Linked DNA regions of Schizosaccharomyces pombe. The gene in region 1 interacts genetically with each later gene. Each region holds a gene or a part of one and is shown on either strand. Other genes may lie near its edges. The genes, in order: mkt1 and sir2.

Region 1 (5,763 bases):
TCACTTTATGGCATTTTCTTTATAATAGTACAACATTGCAGAAGTGAATGACATCTAAAGCTACTGCTACTATGATTTTGCATTTGTCTTACTTTAACATTATCTACCATGCGTTTCCAACGAATCCTATTTTAAAGTGTAAAGTCAGTTAAATGTTAACTGTGTGTACCTTCCTTCCTTCGAACGATCGCATTTATTGTTGACAAACATTACTCAAACTTTCAAATGACTTTTATTCAAAAAATTTTAAAATTCTACCAAATATTTGTAGGACAGAGAAAGAAAAAAAAAATATATATGATTGTAGGTAAATCCTTAATTTAAAGAGGTTAAGTGCGTTCTAGTATCTGTATTTTCAAATAGTAAACATAAGTAACATGTGACCTGTTTAATTTAGCATTAAAATGGAAAAAGTATAGAGCAATTAGGGTGCCTTGTAAATAAAAAAATTGCAATTCAATCTATAATTTTTTTATTAGTATCATTTTGCTTATTTTTTGAGTCCGTACGAAAGTTACGTTTTGCCTTCCCAAATTGCCGCAATGGTAAATTTTCCGCGCACAATTTAATCAAGGCTATTATCACTGAAAAAATCTCAACTGCAAGAATTCTTTTTCCTTCGGCCAACACTTGCTACGCAAATTGAATTGCCATTTGAGGCAGATTTTTTTGTTTAAATTCGAAGAAAAAATCCCAATATTAAGTCATGTCTGAGAAACAAACTATCAAAGCCCTTCCTGCACACAATCCTACTCAGGTGAAAAAACTTGGTCCCGTTAGTGGATTTTTGTCAGGTGGTCTTGCAGCTTGTGGTGCTGTAACACTGACAAATCCTTTCGAAGTTATTAAAACGCGTTTTCAACTTCAAGGTCAATTGACAAAATTGGATCCTTCTAAGCGAATTTACAAAAGCGTCGGTCAGGCATTTTCTCTAATCGCTAGACATGAAGGTATAAGAGGTCTTCAACGAGGCCTTGGTACTGCTTATGTTTATCAAATCTGCCTCAATGGCTGTCGTCTCGGGTTTTACGAACCGATTCGACGTACTCTGAATACGTGGTTCCTTGATGATCCCAAGGGTAATAAATTAGCTATTAACGTTGCAAGTGGCGCCGGTTCAGGTTTATGTGGTGCCTTGTTTGGCTCTCCCTTTTTCTTGGTTAAGACTCGCATGCAGTCGTATTCTCCTAAATTTCCCGTTGGCCAGCAGTATGGTTACAAGCATATATTTAATGCATTCAGTCGTATTATTAAGGAAAATGGTGTTAAGGGTTTGTTTGTTGGTGCTGATGCTGCCATTCTCCGTACTGTCTCTGGTTCCTCTGTTCAGCTTCCTATCTATAATTGGGCTAAACGCATGATTGAGCATTACAATCTATTGGAAGAGGGTATGATCAAACACTTAACTGCTAGTGCTGTTTCTGGATTTGGTGTATGCTGCACCATGCAAATTTTCGATACTGTTATGACTCGTATGTACAACCAAAAGAACAAGGAGCTTTATAAAAATCCGATTGATTGCATCCTTAAAACAATCCGCTCTGAAGGATTCTTTGCCTTATATAAGGGTTTTGGTGCTCACTTGGCCAGAATCGCTCCTCACACAATTTTCTGTCTTACCTTCGTGGAGCAAACCAATAAACTCTTTTTGAAATTCCAAAAGGATTAAGTTGTTTTTTCAAACGCACGTTTCTTTATTTATAAATAATTTTGGTACTAAACCATAAAAACCCCCAGTGGCTTTGGTGTATATCAAGTGAACAGTTAAATTGTAAAGAAATGATGTTTGTATCTAAGAACGATTTTTATTTACATTCGTTGTCTCGTTACTTATTTCCACTCTACTTTCATTTAAAAGTCGATTTTTCTTTTCAAGCTGTTTTTGATCAATCGGCATGTTTTTGTCTTTTGTAATATATATCCGTCAGTTATCTCAATATATGTACGTATTTGTTTTTGGATTTCAGGCATCTGGCTGCGTTTGTATATCAACTTACCTTTTATTTAGTTATTAATATACTTATTTTCTCTATAATTAAAGATTGGAAACATTACCGCTTTGTGTAGTCACAATGGATAAATTTCTTCATTTTGCGTCGTTTTTATTTGAAATCTTTACATTTCGCCAACAGTTATATGTTTTTTAGATAAATCATGTTAGTTTAATAAAATATTTTCTGAACTTCTTATCGTAGTATTCGTGTTCACTAATTTGCTCGTTCCTGCTGACTCTAATAAACGGATCGGACACCTCTATTCAGTACAACATAATAAAATCTGAATATATCCGTTACATATAAAAATAATCTGTTTGTTTTTAAGGATCTATTAAAGGTTTAGTAAAAAAAAACCGCCTTACGGTTTAAACTGCTGTTTGGTAAATTCAGTTAAAAAAAAGAAAAAAAATGACAAGTAAGTTAAAATACCTTGCTACTCATCTGCTAATTTTTTAGTTCGTTCATTGAATTTGTTTATCATAGACAAAAAGCATCAACATAAATCTAGCTTGAGCAGTTTTCAAAACTGTAAGTTGGGTATTGACGCAAGTTTTTACTTGACTCAAATTATTCATTCCTTTACCCCACAGGAACTTCAAAGTTTGGCAGTAAATGGTGAATCCGAATATCTACAACACAGAATTTCGGAATTCCTTGAGCAGTTGAGAACTGAGAATATCACACCCATTTTTGTTTTCAATGGTATACCTCTTACCTTTGAAGCCAGCAGCCAGCTGGAAGTGCCGGGAAAGCAAAAAAGTCATAGTGCATTGACAGATTTCGAAGCTTTTGATCCTTATGATGCAAATATTCAGCGTAATATGTACCGCATGGACGCAAGTGGTCCTGCGAATTACGGCGAAAGTAAACCAACACTTTTGTACACCAATCAGCGAGATCATTTAGATCGTCTTTGCGACCAGGTAAAGTTTTACTTAGATCAATGTAATGTGGAGTATTTTGTCGCCCCGTATCTGGCTATGGCTCAATTAGCATATTTTCTAAACGGCACATCTTCACCTTACATCGATGCCATCTATGGTTCCACGGATCTGCTTCTTTTTGGTGTTAAAAAATTTATTACTTCTATGAACACATCTTCTAACGTTAAAATCTCATCTGACCCTTCATCCCCATCAACTCAAACAACTATCAATTCGGCCGCTAAAAGTTCATTCACATGGTTAGATGGAAATGCCCTTCTTCAAGACACGAACGGCCTTTCATGGCAGCAGTTCATCGATTCCTGTTTATTGTGTGGTACTGCTATTTCTCCTACATTTCCTCAGATTGAGGGTACTTTTCTAATTAAAAGCGCAATGGAGCTTGTTCGTATGTTTGGTTCTGCGTATCGTGCAGTCCTTCATTTTGCTGAAATCTTTCCCCAGCCCATTTTTCAAGATTATCTTCAACAGTACAAAAGGGCTGTTTGTTTCTCTAAGTTTGGAATTGTGATGGATACAAAAGGTCTCACTTTACCACCAGTTCCCACAGAATCTGTTCCTAACGACATAAATATATATTTTGGCACCCGTCTTCCCAACGAGATTTATTTTTACATTTCTCGCGGTCTTATTCCTTGCAAAATGATAGGTGCTTTAGTATCTGGATGTTTTAGTGATCCTGTTTCCATACTTGAACAACATATTGGTGACAAAGCATCACAAGGAACATTTTCTGGTGCTAATTCTGGTTTAAATCCTGGTCGCGACAATGCAGCAGCTGTAGCGGCTGTGGATCAACGGCGATTTGTTGACGATTTAGAAGAAATATGGTCGCAGGGGCTAAATTTATTGACCCAACCGCTTAACAGATTTTACCAAGCCAGAGATATTGTTTCCCTTCATGGCCATAATCAGCAAGCTTCTTTGAAGGTAATGCACAGCTATGATCCTCCTTTGTATAATGATACGAGAGCATGGATGATATACGAAGAAAACTTACCGAGTTATTTATCTAGTAATTTTTTAAAGGAAGAACCCGTTGTATTATTTGATCTACTACGTGCTTTGAACGATCCGGTATTTGTAAAGAAAAGCTTTTGCACTGAAGGTAATATTGGCATAAAAAACCCTCCCAAGCATCCTCTGTCTTCTACTGCGGAAATCGTCTTAAGTTCTTGCTACAGATTTTTGCAAATTAGATCTTTCGTTTTAACATCTCATCAATTAACATCTTGGGGATGCCCCTTGTTAAAAGCGTTGGAAAATTGTCACTTACAGAACCAAACTTCCGTTGTTGTTTTATTCGAGCTTCTTAGACTAAGACAATTAAAAGAGCCCTCTTTACTTTCCTCCTCAAGTGCAAGCATCGCCGATTTATCCATAACTTCTGCCACAGAGTTCTTGGCAAAGGTTGCAACATTTCTACCAATAAAACAGAGACCTGAAGTTAGTAAAATTTCTATAGTTGATGAGAATTTATTACAGTTTTATCAGCTACAAACTAGCTTCGGATCCAACTTGAAGGAACTCATGGCCATGATTCTTGCCTCGGTCATCTTGAACAGAAACGTCGACAAAAGCAAAATAGATCCTAAACTTATCCGAAAAACGTACGTGTTTTTTTCTCTTTCTCCTTTTTTGTTTATATTTAAAGTTTCTAACCAATTTAGCTTACCTTTTCAAAACATAAATGGTAGCCTTGTCTCAGGTTTTGTTGTCAAGCGCTTTTTTGAAATCATTTCAAAAGAGCAAGAAGCCAGTTCTCAACAGGAAAACATCCAGAAGGCTTATGAAATAATAGAAAAGGAATTCCCAACCATTGGATCTGCGGAAAACCATATTGCCCAGTTTTTGGAATTCTGGAAAACTTTTATGGAAGGGGTTAAGGAAGCAGAAAATACAAGTGCCATTGGCAAGCTCGTTTTAAGTAAACTCTTCCTTACTAACCAATGGATATTTTCTCTTGGCTTATGAAGACCAGAACTAGTAGTTTATGAATAGAAATAAATTAGTGAGAGAAGTATCCTTCTTTTAGCGGGAGCTTTTAACACATTCGGCACAGTCATAATGCACATTTACATGAATTACTTTCCCTCATACTGTCGAAGCATTTTCAACATGCTATACACTCATGTGATTACACTTGATTATTGTTGAGATATTATTTCGAACAAGTAAAGTATTGTTAATATTAATATTCAACTACATTGTTTCTTCCCGAAAAAAGGAAGGGAAAGAAAAATAGAGAAGCACAGCTTTGAATGAAAACCCAATGATGTTTAAACTTTTTTATAGATATAGTTTAATTTGTTCTAAAGGATACTATATTTATTTTTAGCAATACACTTACCTGTCAAAAAATAACTTATACCGTTGTTTTTACACTATAGTATGGGAATAATTTTTAACTTATTTGATAAGTTCAAGCGGATTTTTTAGATTTTAGTTTATGTGTACTGGCTCACTCACAAAAAACCGAATTCGCATCAGAAACATAATTTTACCTAATCAATTTCACGAATTAAAAACCTTGTGCTTACAGAAAGACTTGCTTAGTTTAACCACTTACAAGCTGGATAGTATAATTTTGTTTTAAGATATTTACTGTATAGATGCTGTTTACGACAACTTGCTAGCTTTGAGAATCTCCAATTCTCACACTAACATCTAATAATATTTGTCGATAGTTAACAAAATTCTGACAATGTCAGTTTTTAAATATAAACGGTAGTAGTTGAAGTAACTGACAGTTAATCAAAATCTCTGTAACTTATTGTTTACATTGCATATTGCGAGACTTGACACACTATTTAGAAAGTCTT
Region 2 (4,904 bases), on another chromosome or scaffold:
GTAAACAAGTAATTGGTCAAAATGAAGCAGTTACTGCAGTTGCAAACGCCATTCGCTTATCTCGTGCTGGTCTTTCTGATCCTAATCAACCAATCGCATCTTTCTTGTTTTGCGGTCCTTCCGGTACTGGTAAGACTTTATTGACAAAGGCATTGGCATCATTTATGTTTGATGATGAAAATGCAATGATTCGTATTGACATGTCTGAATACATGGAAAAACACTCTGTTTCACGTCTCATTGGAGCACCACCCGGTTATGTTGGACATGAAGCTGGTGGACAGCTTACTGAACAACTTCGTCGACGACCTTACTCCGTCATCTTGTTTGACGAGATTGAAAAGGCTGCTCCAGAAGTATTGACTGTACTTTTGCAGGTACTAGATGATGGACGTATCACTAGTGGCCAAGGCCAGGTTGTTGATGCCAAGAATGCTGTTATCATTATGACTTCTAACTTGGGCGCTGAATACTTGACAACAGACAATGAGTCTGATGATGGAAAGATAGATAGTACCACTCGGGAAATGGTTATGAACTCGATTCGTGGCTTCTTCCGTCCCGAATTTTTGAATCGTATCTCTTCAATCGTTATCTTTAATCGTCTGCGTCGTGTGGATATCCGCAATATTGTCGAAAATCGTATATTAGAGGTTCAGAAACGGCTTCAATCCAATCATCGCTCAATTAAAATCGAGGTTAGCGACGAAGCTAAAGACCTTCTTGGAAGCGCTGGTTATTCCCCTGCTTATGGTGCAAGACCTTTGAACCGTGTCATTCAAAATCAAGTTTTGAATCCCATGGCTGTCTTAATTTTGAATGGCCAGCTTCGCGATAAGGAGACTGCTCATGTCGTAGTCCAAAATGGCAAGATATTTGTCAAACCAAATCATGAAGCTAATGCAAACGGCTCTGCTGATATTGACATGGATGGTATTGACGACGATGTTAATGATGAAGAATTGGAATAAATGTATTTCAAATGAGAAAGTTCTAACGATACTTTATGATATAGTTTAATGATATGCTTAATCTTAATATATTTTATTTATTTATAAAAATATAGTATATAAACTTTTTAGGAAGTACTGTTTTCTCATTAAAATGTTCAATGAACTTTATCGAATAGATAGAATCAATTTAACAAAAGCTAAGTACATCGTTTTTAGTTATTAGCAATTCAAGTATGATGAAACATTGAATCTTAAATTTATCAAATAATCCATTGTTATTTACGAAAAACCTCCATTTATTTTAGTAGGTATTAATTAATGCAGTCCATTCAAGAAAGTCGAGCTTGTAAGAAAGTGCTCGTAATTCCTTATAAAATCAAAGCAGAATTAGCTCTCATACTTTTAGTAGATTTTAAATTGAATTTACATGATTAACTTTAACATTTGGTAAATCACTATCATATCATTTCATTACTTTCTACACTTGCGCATTGCATACTAATACGCATTCCAGTTCTCATGGTTCAAAGCAACGTTTAAATTAACAAGTTGTATAGTTAAACTTATACAGTGCTTTGCTTCTAATAGCCATTATTACCAGGAAATAACGAGATCACAGTTGCCCGCATACCATTAAGCTAACGAAACTTTACTGCACTAAACAAGAGACTAGCTTTTCGTAATTGTAATAAGACTTATCGAAAAGTTGAACCAGAGATCTTCAGTTCAGTAGATCATTGCCTTTCTCAAACGAAGCTTTAATTTATACTTCCTTAAAAATAATTGATTAGTCATATTTTCATGTTATACAAACTCTGTCATGGCTTCCAATCCGCTAGATAATAATATGCCGACGACTCCCGTTGAGGAAAAAATTCCAGTCGCTAGTTATTCTCCTAGCTCTTCTGGTAGTAGTTCCGGTGCTAGTTTACTAGTAGATATTATGTGCGGCAGTAAAGAAACTGAGGATGAAGAGGTTGATTCTGATGAATGGGATAAACCAGGTATGAATATCAACTATTAACTCCAATACCTTCAAGGGTACGCGCAAGTCTATTTGAATTTACAAAATTTACAATTGATCAACGATTTTGAGTTCAGGTTAGCTATGTGCTTTTCATATACTTTAGTTTATTTTAATTATTTAAAAAGTTAACGATTCCTTAGAAACAGAAAACATAAGTGATTTGGATGAACGATCCGAAATGGTCAGATATTTAAGGGCTTCAGGTAAGGAGTTACTTAATTTACATTTTAACTAGTATTTGTAGGCTATGCGAAATTCTTGGAGAAATATTTAATAGAAGAAGAGTTGCCTGTACGATCGATTTTAAAAAAACTTGGAATCAATTTGGTATGCTTACTGATTTATAACTTGCATTACATTAAATTAGCAGATTATTTTTGTTAAATTGCAATAATAATTTGGTCTACTGCATGTTTTGTTTTCTTATGACTTTACCTAGATTTATTAACGTAAATAGCCTAGTGCACTTGAAGAGTTTGAAGACATAGAGTATGCTTTTCTTTAACTTCCTTCTTATCTTTTTATCTTTTATTTTTTAAAATATCTGCTATCGATATACTAACGTGCTAATTAGTTTACTTCCTTTGCTGAAGGAAGTTTTAAAACGTGAGGTTGCTAGGAGAATCAAACTTCCACATTTTAATACCTTTGAAGATGTTGTTAATTTATTGAAAAAAGCTAAAAATGTTGTCGTCCTTGTTGGGGCAGGCATAAGTACAAGTTTGGGAATTTTAGATTTCCGTTCAGACAATGGTTTTTATGCCCGTTTGGCACGCCATGGATTATCGGAACCTTCTGAAATGTTTGATATCCATACGTTTAGAGAAAATCCAGAAATTTTTTATACTTTTGCTAGAGATCTTTTGCCGGAGACGAATCATTATTCCCCCTCGCATGCCTTCATTAGATTGCTTGAAAAGAAGAATAAATTATCAACATTGTTTACCCAAAATATAGACAATTTGGAAAAAAAGACTGGACTCTCCGATAACAAAATTATTCAATGTCATGGTAAGTATTTATTTTCCGATTTGCATCTCGAGCACTGGTGATTTTGTCTAATTTGATTATATAGGGTCTTTTGCTACCGCAACTTGTATCAAATGCAAGCACAAGGTGGATGGATCGGAGTTATATGAAGACATAAGAAATCAAAGAGTTTCTTACTGCAATGAATGCGGAAAACCACCCTTAAAATTAAGAAGAGTCGGTCAAAATAAAAAAGAGAAACATTATTTTTCAGATGGTGATAGTGAATCTTCTGAAGATGATCTAGCTCAACCTGGGATTATGAAACCTGATATCACATTTTTTGGGGAAGCCTTACCGGATTCTTTCTTTAACAAAGTCGGGAGTGGTGAGCTTGAAGAGACTGATTTATTAATTTGTATTGGAACTTCTTTAAAAGTGGCTCCTGTTTCAGAACTCATCAGTGTTATTCCTCCTACTACTCCTCAGATTTACATTTCGAGGACTCCTGTTCGTCATACCCAATTCGATGTAAATTTTCTAAGTCCTTATTGTGATTGGGTTATTGTGGAGATTTGTAAACGTGCTGGATGGCTGAATGAATTACAAGCGCTTTGCGATTTACCTGAGTGTCATAGTGGTTCCAAAACGCGAGCTTTCGAAACGGATTTGGATATAAAATTTGAGGAGCCCAGCACCTATCATATCACGAGCACAACAAACGGTAGTTGTTAATTTTAGGACTGATCGATCTATCGAAGTTGAATGTAGAAGCAAATATATTATATACATATATCGAGTATGAGAGCCAGATTATTGGACATTAACTTATTATCCGTTTGAGACTTCTTAGTTTTGTAAGTGCCATTGTTAAAAACTGTTTTTTCTCTTCGCACCTAATGTTTAAATCTGCTAAACTGGGTGAAAACACATTAAAACAAGTTATAATACATTTTACAATACCAAGGACTGTGTAATTAGTAAATGAACATTGAAGCAAATTACATTCATAGGCTATGCAAAATTAGCTACTTTTTTAAGCATAGTAAATCAGTGAAAATGACACAATTATTATTTAAAATTGAAAGATTGATTGGTACATATCAATACAACCAATGAAGCATCTAATTGTACGATACTAAAGAGAAACAACTGAAAACGGACAATTAGAAATTGGTCAACGATATTGACACTCAAACTCAAAAGAAGAAAACAGATTTAATGAAGAATATAAAATGCACGGATCATCGAAAAAGCCACCAAATCAAGCCCATTTACCTAACAAAGCCATAACTCCAGTACCAGCCATCGAGCATGCCAAAAGGTAAATAAGCTTATACCAGTTACGTTCTCTTTCAGGACTAAATAAGAAATCGTGTGCAAGTAATTCCACTAAACCAGCATAAACCAAAATTCCAGATGAGATAGCATCCAAAACACCTTGGGCAGCATAAGACCCATGAGCAAGAGGATCCCAATGCTCACGAACACCTAAACCAGCTGCCATACCAATAGGCGTAACCAACGAATAGATAACGCCCAACACCCAAGGTACCCATGCAGTTTTTGGGCCCCAGGCCATTCCCGCCAAACGAGAACCTAAACCACAACCTTCAAAGGCCTGATGGAAAATAATGACGGGAAATAAAGTTTTAAATTCTTCACCTGAGACGGCAGTTGTAAGACCGATAATAACACTATGCAAAATGATACTAGATTCAAGAATTATAAAGGCAGTAAGTTGTTGCTTTAGTAAGAAACTACGAGCTTCTTCTTTAGTAGTCAAATCGGTACTATCAGTATTCGTATAAGGTTCTAGTTTTACTTCTTCCAAGTCATCCTTTACACATTCATGCTCAACACCATCGGCACATTCTTCAATATCATAAACTGGATGTTCATGAACACCGTGAGCACCGTCTTCGTGACTATGACTGTGTTGTTTGGCACCAAGA

What was found.
Region 2: of mkt1 (region 1) and sir2, changing one enhances a phenotype caused by changing the other (phenotypic enhancement), as found in Schizosaccharomyces pombe (one study listed by BioGRID).

What each region holds. Positions count from the first base shown.
Region 1 is NC_003424.3:1,015,518-1,021,280, reverse strand, and holds mkt1 (post-transcriptional RNA stability regulator Mkt1), read left to right. Parts: upstream 1-2,227; 5' UTR 2,228-2,405; coding exon 2,406-2,412; exon of another isoform or gene 2,413-2,453; coding exon 2,454-4,551; intron 4,552-4,611; coding exon 4,612-4,915; 3' UTR 4,916-5,178; downstream 5,179-5,763. Other genes in the region: oac1 (anion transporter), read left to right, coding at 707-1,669.
Region 2 is NC_003423.3:3,608,426-3,613,329, reverse strand, and holds sir2 (histone deacetylase, Sirtuin family, NAD-dependent Sir2), read left to right. Parts: upstream 1-1,643; 5' UTR 1,644-1,773; coding exon 1,774-1,957; exon of another isoform or gene 1,958-2,120; coding exon 2,121-2,183; exon of another isoform or gene 2,184-2,220; intron 2,221-2,224; coding exon 2,225-2,307; intron 2,308-2,437; coding exon 2,438-2,469; exon of another isoform or gene 2,470-2,554; coding exon 2,555-2,991; exon of another isoform or gene 2,992-3,055; coding exon 3,056-3,684; 3' UTR 3,685-4,113; downstream 4,114-4,904. Other genes in the region: heat shock protein Hsp104, read left to right, coding at 1-971; plasma membrane ZIP zinc transmembrane transporter Zrt1, read right to left, coding at 4,214-4,904. UniProt on the Schizosaccharomyces pombe protein: Involved in silencing within the mating-type region, at the telomeres, and according to PubMed:12867036 also within centromeric DNA regions.